Struthio camelus: one gene and its partners. The protein of the gene in region 3 interacts with the protein of the main gene of each other region in a pairwise test. Links are inferred from orthologs where the notes say so. Each region holds a gene or a part of one and is shown on either strand. Other genes may lie near its edges. The genes, in order: JUP, PKP3 and CTNNA3.

Region 1 (3,742 bases), on a different chromosome or scaffold from region 3:
GGAATAACCTTCACCGAAAAAAGCCTCCCAGCTGCAAAACAGTTGCCTACTCCAGCTGCTAGATCTGATTAAGGATTTTGGGGGGGGGGAGAGGATAGAATTAATGGGGATTAGGACAATGCTGAATATTAAGGTTAAAATACAGCGCTGGGACCAGAGGTGAAATTCTTCAAGGTCTCCAGCTGCAACCAAACGGCGAGCTGCCAGCGCCACCGAGGCCAATGTTTGAAGTCGGAAGCGGAGCGCCGGCTCCTCCGGACCGCGCCAGGGACGCACGCGCCTCCCCGGAGCCGGCGGCGACGCACCCGGCACAGCAGCGCCCAGACAATAGACCATAAAGTCTATTGTTCGAAAGTGACTGCCGCGTCGCTGCTGCACCGACTCCGGCGGGTCGGAGCAGGGGGTTTCCAGCAGCCACTTTTCAAACTCCTGGAGCAGGGGCAGCTTGAAGGACCCAGGTGTCCTGAAGACGGCCCCCCATCACTTGTGCTAATGCAGCTGAGAACAGCGCACAAGCCAATTGCCTTCCCCCCCCTTCACATCTCAACCATTTAAGCCAAGAGTTTTTTACATTCCTGTCCTAATGGCCAACTCGTTTAAGCCAAATCTGCTGTAAAATGGGTTTTTCATGACACTTCATGGAACTCCTCCAGAGCAACAAACAATTACAGGCTTCACTTGCACAAAGACAGTTTAATTGGGCATTCTGCACTTTTACTCCAACAAACATCAATAAAAGACGCAGGAAGGGACCTTTAGACCTCTCCAGATCCATTACCGGAGAACGACGCATCAAGCAAACGCCATCTCTGCCCGTCTCCTCCCAAGAAGCAGGGCATGGGCCAGCCTGGCCACACATCCACGTCCCAGCCAGGGATGCACCAGGCACAGCCCCAGCTGCAGACCCAAAACACCAGCTCCTTCCTCCTTCCGAAACACCAACGCCAAACGTTACCTGGGGGAGCAGCACTGCGTGAGGTTTGCTTCCCGTCCCGCTTGCGAGCTACGTCCACCCAAGGGGTTTCCGACCCCCAGGGAGTAGGTGGACAGCAAAGCCCGATCAAGTCCTACCAGGGATGACGCAGCTGCGGCCGCCCTGGGCCCCAGGGGACCAGCCAAGGACAGGCGGTGCGAGCCATCGCGGCCCTTCCCTGCTTGCAGGCACGGGGCTGGCGCTCACGCGCTCCTCTCGCGGCAGCAACGCCTCTCTCCAAGTTCCTCGTACACCAGCCTACGTTTTTTCCTCCCCAGGCAACTCCCAGCAATGTTTCAGCATTATCCTTTCATCTGCGCCGTAAACCTGATTAATTAAGCTAATCACTTTGCTAACGCAATTAGAGCCCTCGCTCCTCTCCAAATGCCAAGCAAAAATGACAGCAGTTTCACCCCCTCTCCATCTTCCTAGTTTCCCTGCACAGATCCTTGCTGTCAGCTCCTTGCAGGGGTTTTGGCTGGGGAAAAACTCCTTTTCTCTGCCAGCGGGCAGCCCCACTCGCAAACTTTGGTGCCGGCGAACCTCGGTGCTTCGCAGGTGCACCAGCTTCCCCGGGGAAAGCGCTCTGCAAATACCACCCGCCACGGCGAGCACCCAGCGGGGTGGCGAAGCCTGCGTGACTCGCAGCACGCCAGCCCGGGGCGCACCCCACGCGCGGCCGCGGCTCCACGCCAGCGCCCCGGAGCCGAGCGAGGCGCGGGCGGACCGAGGGGCCACGCCGAGGACGGCGGCCGCAGTTTGCAAAGTCGCTCCTGGAGTAAAGGAGCCGGAAAGTCCGGCCGGGCGCCCCGGGGGGGGGGATCGCTGCGGGCACCGGTCGGACCGGGTCTGCAGCGCACCCGCCTCGGGGGCTTCAGCTTGTCACCGACCCCCCTTCGGGGGCGACAATTCCCTCTTTTATACATATAGTATTTTATAATATGTATTTGTATATATAAAAGGCAGCTTCGCTTCAGCTCTGCCTCTAGCGGGAGCCTCTGCCCCGACCCCCGGGGGGGCCCCCGGCTGCCGCCCGGCCACTCCCAGCCCCGGACGCCGGGATCCTCCCAAACCCAGGTTAGGGCGAGGCGCTGCCGGACACCGGGATCCTCCCAGCCCAACCCCAGCTTCAGCCGGAGCCCGGACGCCGGGGCCCCCCCTCCCCACCCGGTCCGAGCCCGGCCGCTCCCGGACGCCGGGGCCCCCCCTCCCCACCCGGTCCGAGCCCGGCCGCTCCCGGACGCCGGGGCCCCCCCTCCCCACCCGGTCCGAGCCCGGCCGCTCCCGGACGCCGGGGCCCCCCCTCCCCACCCGGTCCGAGCCCGGCCGCTCCCGGACGCCGGGGCCCCCCCTCCCCACCCGGTCCGAGCCCGGCCGCTCCCGGACGCCGGGGTCCCCCCTCCCCACCCGGTCCGAGCCCGGCCGCTCCCGGACGCCGGGGTCCCCCCTCCCCACCCGGTCCGAGCCCGGCCGCTCCCGGACGCCGGGGTCCACCCTCTCCGAGCCCGGACGCCGGGGCCCCCCGCCCCGGTCCGAGCCCGGACGCCGGGGCCCCCCGGACGCCGGATCCCCCCCCCACCCCCACGCCCCGCCGCTCCCGGCCGCCCGCTCCCGGCCGCTCACCTGCGCCGCCGCGGCCCCTGCGCGCACACTGGCGGCCGCCCCGCTCCTGCCCGAACAAAAGGCGAGCAGCGCCCCGCGCCGCCCCGCCCCCGTCCCCGCCCCGCGCCCCGCCATTGGCCCGCGCCCCCGCCCGTCACGCCCGCGGCGGGCCGGGCGCCGCCACCGCCCGGACGTGTTTATCGGCTCCCCATTGGTGGCGACGCGGCCGCCCCGCCCCTCGCCCGTAGGTGATTGGCCAGCGGCCCGGCGCTGGGCGGGGAGGGCGGGGCGCGGCAGAGGGCGGGGCTGGGCGAGCCCGCGGGGGCGGGTGGGAGGGGGAAGCGCACCTGCGTGACGTCAGCGGGAGGGCGGGGCCAGGCCAGACCGGGGGTGAAGGGGCGGGGCCCGGACTCTCCCACGGGCAGGGGGCGGGGCCTGGGGAGGGGCGGGGCCTGAGCCCCACCTGGGCGGGGGGGGGGAAGGACCCCCCCCCAACCCGGGGCAGATGCATGGGGTGCAGGGACCCCCGGGGTAGGCAGGGACCCCCGCCCATCATGTACAGGGGGTGCAGGAGCCCCCCCTTGGGGCAGGTGTGTGGGGCAGGGGTGGACCCCCTGGGGGACGTGCATGGGGTGCAGGGACCCCTTGGGGGCAGGGGGCAGGCAGGGACCCCACTGATCACATACTAGGGGTGCAGAGACCCCCTTTGGGGCAAGGATGGACCCCCTGAGGGACATGCATGGGGTGCAGGGACCCCCTCGGGGGGCAGGCAGGGACCCCTTTGGGGCAGGGGGGACCCTTGGGGGCGGTGCAGGGGGTGCAGGGACCCCCTGATAAGCTCTGGGGGGTGCAGGGACCCCCGCCCCACGAGGGGGGCAGCTCCCGCTTCCCAAGCTTCCTCTGCGGCCCCGCAGCCGCTGAAGCCCCCCGCGCGCCGCCAAATCCATCGGGGCTGCAGCTGCCTCGTGCATTATTTATGGCGTTTGCATCGAGCCGCCCAGAGCCGGCGGCGCGGCCGGGTCCGGCCGGGGGGCCTGGAGCATCGCCCGGCTCGGGGAAGGGTCCCCGTGCAGCCCGGATGGGGAAACCGAGGCAGGCAGGCTGGCTGGGGGACCAGCCCCCAGGGTGGCCTGAGGCGCGCCGGGGAGGTGACGGCCGCCTGCGTCA
Region 2 (3,742 bases), on a different chromosome or scaffold from region 3:
GCTAATTTCTGTGAAATTATGAGGTAGGAAGCTGTTTTCAGGAAGATCTGTTGGGTTTTGGGGGTTTTTTTTTTGGGGGGGGGGGGGGGTTGGGGTTTGTTTTTTTTTTTTCTTGGTTGGGTTTTGTTTTTATTCTTACGAAATAAAATCGATGTCTTGGCTGGGATTTCCTTTCCCCCCGCCCACCGGCGCCCCGTCGCTCTCGGGATTGCCCCCTTCGGAGCCGGGGGGGGGCGAGCGGCGCCCGGGCTGAGAACGGGGCAGTTGTGACAGCAGTGCTGGCTCACCAGAGCCCCCCTCCACCCAGGGCCGGGCTCGGAGCGGGATGTGTTGCCCGCCGCATCCTCGCCGGGTGCCCCCGCGGAGCTGGCGGGAGCCCTCGCCCCGAACTGGTTTGGCCCGTTTCGGCGGCTCCGAAGGCCCTCCCGCTCCATCCCACGCGGGAGGTTGCGGCGCGAGACGGGGGAAGCGCCGGCGTTCGGGAGCGCGCGTGCCAAACGCCGCCGAAGCGGCGCCTGGGCTAAGCCTGCGCCCCGCGCCGGGGGCATCGCCGCGCCGCCGGGATGCTGCAGGCCGACGGCCCCGCGGGGCCGCCGAGCAAGGTACGTCGCTGCCTCGCCGCGGGTCCGGCGGCCGCACGGCCGGGCCCCTCTGCCCCGCGGTGCCACCCGCGCCCACGGGCTGGGGCACCCGGGGGGCTGCCTGCCCCTGCCTCGGCCAGGAGATCCCTCCTGCCTGCCCGCCTCGTGCCTCAGTTTCCCCGCTAGACGAAGGACGAGCCGGGTGGGCAGGGGGAGGAGGAGGACGGGTGCCCCGACCGCGTCCAGATCCCTTTGGGAAGCGCCCAGGGTGCTTTTTGCATCCATTCGCTATTTCTCGACGGGCCCCCCTCCCGCTCGGCAGCCGTTCCCCCCCCCCCCCACCTTAAAACCCGGCCCTTTAGCTTGGGCGCAAGCTGCTTTCCGCGGAGCCGGGCGCTGGCCTGGGTCGCGTTGGGACCTGTCCCGCCGTGCGGCCGCCCACTGGCAGCACCTTGCCTCGGCTTTCTCGGCAGCCGGTCGCCAGGCCCGAGCTCGCCCGCCTGACGCGGGCCAGGGCGCCGAGCCGCCGCCGGGGTCCCGCTCTCCCTCTGCCCCGGCCTTCGCGGAGCCGGGCCGGCGAGAAGAGCCGCTCGCGAGCGCCGGCCGGCTGCCCCGTGCCCACCGGGCGGGTAGGCGGAACCGCTCCGCCGAGACCAGTCACAACTCGGTTCAGGAATGCGCAGCGCGAGCTGAAGAACGCAAAGGTCGGGGTGGGGCGGAGGTGGGGGGGGGAGTTGAAGGCGCTGGGGCAAAGCAGCCCCCCACCCCCCCCCGGGCTAACAACTCCTTGGCGGTGGCCGTCACCGTGCCTCAGTTTCCCCCCCCCTTTTTTTTTTTTTTTTTCCACGCGGTTACGCCCGGCCGGCGAGGCGTGGCGGCGGCGGGGCGGGCCCGCTTCCACCTTAAGGGTTGGGGAAGGGCTCGGCCGCCATCACGGCCGCGCTCACCTGCTTAAGGTGGCCCCGGGGGAGCCGCCGCCGCCGCCGCCATGCAGGAGGGCAACTTCTTCCTCTCGGCCCTGCAGCCCGAGGCCGGCGTCTGCTCGCTGGCGTTGCCCTCGGACCGGCAGCTGGACGGCCGGGGCGGCCCGGCGGCCGAGGCCCAGCGGCTACGCGCCGCCCGCGTCCGCGAGCAGGTCCGGCTCCGCATGACGACGCTCGAGGGCCGGGCGGCCCCTCGCCCCCCCGGGGCCGGGCTCGACTCGGCCGCCCAGGCCGCAGGTGGGCACGTGCGCCGGGCTGCCTCCCCCTCTCCTCCCTCCCTCCCTCCGCCGCTGCTTTCCCCCTGGGGCCTGTGTGTCGTCCCCCCCCCCCCAAGATGGGGGCCGCGCCGTGCCTCGGTTTCCCCCCCCCCCCCGCGCGCCGTGGCCGGGGCTCGGCGCTGGCCGGCCTCCAAGCGCCTCCGTTGAACGCCGACGCTCGCGACGGACGGGGACCCGGGGCGGGGGGGGGGGGGGACGGGACCGTCCGCCACGGCCGACCCGTCTCCCGCTCCCTCCCGCAGGCGGGCCCTACGGCGCCGCGCCGCCCTCGGCCTTCAGCTCCCGCTCGCAGGGCGACGGCTCGGACGCCCGAGGCGCCGCGGTAGGTACCGGCGGCGGAGGGGCCGCGGCGGGGGCGCCGGCATCGGCGGCCGTCCCCTCCCTCATCCCGCCCTTCTCTCCCCCCACCTCCAGCTCTCTCGGCCGCCGGGCGACGAGGACTACGGCACCCTCAAGGGCGGCGGCGGCTGGTCGTCGCGCTCGGCCGCCGAGCTCGGGCCGCCCCGCCGCCCGCCGCCGCCCGCCGCCCTCAACGGGGGCCCGGCCGATGGTCGGGGCTACGGCGGCGGCTACCCGCCGGCGGCCGGCTCCTCGTGGCGGCCCAGCTCCTTCCACGAGCGCGCCTACCGGCCCCGGCAGAGCTTCGACACGCTCTCGCTGCGCTCCCTGCGGCTGGCCGACGGGCCGGGCCGGGCCGCCGACGACCGCTACAGCGTCGTCTCGGAGCGGCTGGAGCCCCGGCCCCTCTACGAAAGCCGAGGCGGCGGCGGCGGCGGCGGCGGCTTCGCCCGCTCCTACACCTTCGAGCGGCGGCTGAGCGGCGGCGGCGGCCCGGCCGAGTGGTTGGAGGAGGGCGAGGCGGCGCGGGGCCGCACCATCCGGGCGCCCGCCGTGCGCACGCTGCAGCGCTTCCAGAGCAACCACCGCTCGCGCCTCAGCGCCGCCTCCTTCGGCGGCCTCCAGGCCTCGGCCGGCGCCGGCGGCTCCTACCCGCGCCTGCTGGAGGGCGGCTCCCGCGCCCCCTCCGTGCGCAGCCTGGCCGAGCCCGGCCACCGCCTGCGGGACCGGCGCGCCTCCGACGCCTACGACGGCCACAGCCCGCTGCTCGCCCCGCAGTCGGGCGGGTGAGTGCCGGCCGGGGTTGCTCCCGGGCGAAAGCGCCGCGTCCCTCCGGCCCCTGCCCGGCGTCGCCTTGTTGCCGGGCAGGGCGAGGCGGCGGGCACGGTCGCCGCCGACTTGCCTCCCGAGACGCGAGGGTGGCAAGGCGCTCGCTCAGCCGGGTCCTTGGGGAAGGGAGACGGTTTGGTGGGTCTCCTCCGAGATGCCGGTGGGACGTGGTGGGACACGGAGGTAGAGGCCCCGGTGGACGCTCTAGCCCGGGCTGTTCTTCGCCCGCTTGTGGCTTCCAGGTTCGATGACATCGACCTGCCCTCTGCGGTGAAATACCTGATCGCCACCGACCCCAACCTGCAGGTCCTGGGGGCCGCCTACCTCCAGCACAAGTGCTACAGCGACGGCAATGCCAAGAAGCAGGTGGGCACCCAAAAGCCAAAGGGGAACATTTCCCCCCCACACACACCCTTCCCCGCCTCGGCATTGGTGGGGCCGCTGTGGGAGGGTGAAGGAGATGGAGGGAGCCCCGCGCTCTCTCTTCCCCAACCAAGCGGGAGCAAAGAGCCAGCAACCAGCTCCCTTGGGCGCAAGCGGCACGAAGGAGAGACCGCGTGGGGAGCGCCGTCCGTGGCTCAGCCCAGCCGGGCCCTCTCTTCCCAGGCGCGCAGCCTCCAGGCCATGCCCAAGCTGGTGAAGCTGTTCAACAGCCCCAACCAGGAGGTGCAGCGCCATGCCACGGGCGCCATGCGCAACCTCATCTACGACAATGCGGAGAACAAGTTGGCCC
Region 3 (3,742 bases):
TGGGAGCCACAAACATCCATCCCGCATGTCCCTGCTCTTCTCAATTTGTTTCTACATCTGAACTTGACTCCTATTTAATAGCTTCTTAAACTGCCTCTCTCATAATAAAATCAACAATGCATTAAGCCATTTGGAGAAACTGCAGGGTTGGCAGATAGGGTGTGGTGCGTCTATGCCCTCCTGTTAACAAGTTGGTGTAGCGTAAGAACTTCCAGCCACACAGCAGAGAAGCATCCAAGCTGCTGAAAAGTTGCTTCTTCTGATGAGGCCATTGAACTCCACAGGATACCGTCCTCCAGCTTCACTGGGATTGCATCAAGCCAGATCTTTCATATCCTTGAAAAGTCCTTTTCAACTAGCTGGCATAATCTTCACCAGCCTCACAATATATGGGCATCTTTTAAAATCCTTCACAACTACCGCAAATCCATGGTACTGATTCTACTGTGAATTCTTTCCAGGCAAGATCTTAAATCAGTAGCAAGGGGACATTTAAGAACTGGACAGAGATAGCCACTCTGTGCTTCTACTAAGATTTGAAGAAATCACAAGATGATTTTCACTTTATTTTTTTCTGCAGATATAGTCATGCTTTAAGTTTGTCGTGGCTTCACCTCAATTCATTGATAAAAGGGTTACTGATTGCTTTACTGAAAATTCAGAAATAAGATCTTTGTTGCTTGCAGCAAGAGCTGCCCTCCTTTCTTTCTGCACATCTTCCTATGCTACGGATCAACTATGATGGTCAGATCTTTTACAAAATTTGGCAGATAAGATACAGCTGTAATTATAATCACCTGTTCTTATTTGACACCACTCTGCTCCGGAGCCCTGTGTCTGAACAGTCTCAAAGTTGAGAAGTGTTACAAATCCAATTCCCTTTTCAGCTCAGAAAAATCTCTGTGGGCTGTCACTTTCTCTCTCTCTTCTCCATTTTTTTTTTAATCCTACCATGTTTTCTAAAATAGGCATTTTTATTCTTTGCTTAGGTCCTGGCACAACCACTTTTGCAATAGTGATCTTGCATTTCATCAAGCCCATAAATTCTTATCATTAACTGAAAGTCAAAGCCAAAAGTCACTTTCATTGTGAAAATGCTTTCATTTTCTGAAAATTTAAATTATATTCAAAGGCACACATAACTATTCAAAGGCTGACTAGCTGATTCTAGGGTTTTGGGGGTTTTTTTATGCTAATACCTCCTGCTAAACTTCCTTAAGGCAGTCTAAATATGAAAACTAACTTGCAAGCCAACGCAGTGAAAACTGCAAATTCTTAAATCATTTTGATACACTGACTTCAGATTCTTAATTTATTAGGTTCTCCCTACTGCTATTTACTATATTAGTAAATTAGTATTTATACAGATAAAGACTTTTTATCAAGGCAAGGGTAATGTGATAGAAAAGAAAAATATGCAGGCAGTAAAGATCATTCTGGGGCTCTTTCTGATATTTCCACTCAGAAAGCAAACTTCTCTCCTTCCAGACAGCTTCTTCATTAACCAAACAAGTTTTAGTGCTCACCTCAGGAAAAAATGGAGATCAAAGCCCAGCATATTTTAAAAATGCATATATCTACTCCAGTATAATCTGCACACTAATTACAGTACAGATCTTGACTGTGAGATATTTTGGTAAAAGACTGCTATAACCTCACACTTGGGTACATTAACCTTTACAGTAGGCAATTTCAGCACCGCAGACCATCAGCTCTCATAACACTTAGGATGTTAAGCACATGTCACAAGATACAGTTCTTCTGTCTCAGAAGAGCCAGAAAAGCAACCACCTGCACACTTCTACCAGTGCAGCGTACTTTAAGATAACACACATTTTGTCTTTTCAGCAGATGTGTCCAAACTGAAACTGCTGAGTTTAACCTGCTGAGTTAAACTGCTTCAGTTTAAGAAAAAAAGACACTTGAAAAACAGTCAAAGAAGTTTGCATCAACCTGCAATAAAACGTGACCACAGTATCTGCAGCTTTTAGATAATGTGTAAGTACACTGTACACAGACATAAACTAATTAACATCAGAAAGCAGAGTCAAAGATATTCTGCATAAATTAGACAAACTTAACTTCGGAATCTAATTTCTGCTAAATCATTAGAAAGCCAATAGCATATCACTCACCTATCCTAGAACACAAATGGTCCATATGCAGCACTAGAGCAACTGTCTATGTAATTTCCTTGTGTTAGGAACTTCAGCGCAACTGCTAAGGCTCACTATTTGGCTTCTGAGGCATCTGCAAGCCAACTGCCTCACAAGCTCTCTAGTGTATTTCAGGATGAGTGACAGGACACAGTGGCTGCTGGAGGGGTGGCAGGGGGATGGGCATCCTTAAAGCTATATACTAATGCACAAATATGCCCACAAAAATTTAGAAATCAAAAAAATGCCTTTAAATCCGTTTTGAGCAACATGAAACATGTCAATGCCGTTGCCTGTGGTGCTTATTCTTGTCATTTTCAACATCGCTATTATTTTCCCATCATTCTGGTTGTATGCCAACTTCTGTCTCAAGGCAATGACTCAGATTCAGACTTTTGAACTAGACAGCAAAGGGATTCATCAGGCTCTCACCCAATCACTTGGCACCAGATTTGTTTTCTTTCTTTTTTTTCCATTGTATGTTATCCTACACTGACATACACTACATTATCCTACCAAGTTCATAAAATGCACAGGCCTACTGCTTTTTAAAAAGCCAGAAAGACACCAGAAACTGTATTTCATAAAAACAAAGTAGTCTGGATGTGTATTTTTAAACAAGGAACACATGCACAGGAGACCAAGGACTTTCAAGACATTAAGCACTGCTGAGAGTATTTAACTGAATATGTTTTATTACTTGTTCTTAATTTTGTATTTATTATATAACTACATCAATTGGTGTCGACACCACTCTGGGACACTAATATTTGTCAGCCCTTTTACTACAGAATCAGCACAAGGAGTGCAAATCAGGTTTTAAAGAAGTAACAATAACAGTGACTATGTTTTCCTTTAATCCGCTAGCTGATACAGAAAATTCAGACTGCAGAGGAGTTATCTGTTAAAATTTACTAGTCTTGTTTGCAGTAGAACTGCATGGAGTTTTTCTGCTTGAAGGCCTACTGCACTTTGTGGGCAGTACAATGGAGCAATACCTCTGACACCTGGGAAGTATCTGAGGAAAACCTATAATGCACCTCACACGTTATTTAGTTCCACATAAAGTCATCAGGTTACACTCTATCCACATTAGATTTAGTCCCTTTTTATCATTACTAAGAGGAAAGACGTCTGCTAATGTAAAGGCAGCACAAAGGAAAAACAAGCCTGAGACCTGAAGAACGTGACAAGATTCAGATATCAGTTAAATAATATTTATTCACTGAAGGCTACTTTATTTAACAAGGCTTTACATTTAAGTAGATTCCCAGTGAAGTAACTGGAAGACATTTTTAATACTGAGAGAAAAGGTTTGTTTGGTTTTTTTTGATATTTCCTTTCATTTCCCTCTGTGTCCACCTTCTCTCAATAGCCATTTTTGAATCCATTGGCCAACTTGAACCACATCCAAAAGACAGACGGAAGTCCCAAATACACTAGATTTATATCAAATTCTTAAATATAGTTCTCAGAATAAAAGAAATAGCTAGAGTCAGATATCATCCCTCTTAGTAAATTCACCAAGGAAAAGAATGCAGCATGAGCCTAATTCTTACTGGACACAGGAGGCCCCACACAGTAAG

Evidence for each region.
Region 1: the proteins of CTNNA3 (region 3) and JUP interact in binary tests that used the Homo sapiens proteins (3 or more experiments, as listed by UniProt). The link is inferred for Struthio camelus from reciprocal best matches to the Homo sapiens genes CTNNA3 and JUP.
Region 2: the proteins of CTNNA3 (region 3) and PKP3 interact in a two-hybrid assay, tested with the Homo sapiens proteins (2 studies listed by IntAct). The link is inferred for Struthio camelus from reciprocal best matches to the Homo sapiens genes CTNNA3 and PKP3.

Annotation. Positions count from the first base shown.
Region 1 is NC_090966.1:7,328,814-7,332,555, forward strand, and holds the start of JUP (junction plakoglobin), read right to left. Parts: upstream 2,655-3,742; 5' UTR 2,597-2,654; intron 1,754-2,596; exon of another isoform or gene 956-1,753; intron 1-955. UniProt on the Homo sapiens protein: Common junctional plaque protein. The membrane-associated plaques are architectural elements in an important strategic position to influence the arrangement and function of both the cytoskeleton and the cells within the tissue.
Region 2 is NC_090946.1:7,801,646-7,805,387, forward strand, and holds the start of PKP3 (plakophilin-3), read left to right. Parts: upstream 1-1,499; 5' UTR 1,500-1,569; coding exon 1,570-1,801; intron 1,802-2,084; coding exon 2,085-2,164; intron 2,165-2,256; coding exon 2,257-2,966; intron 2,967-3,251; coding exon 3,252-3,375; intron 3,376-3,615; coding exon 3,616-3,742. UniProt on the Homo sapiens protein: A component of desmosome cell-cell junctions which are required for positive regulation of cellular adhesion. Required for the localization of DSG2, DSP and PKP2 to mature desmosome junctions.
Region 3 is NC_090948.1:38,531,141-38,534,882, forward strand, and holds the start of CTNNA3 (catenin alpha-3), read right to left. Parts: upstream 2,252-3,742; 5' UTR 2,161-2,251; coding exon 2,136-2,160; intron 1-2,135. UniProt on the Homo sapiens protein: May be involved in formation of stretch-resistant cell-cell adhesion complexes.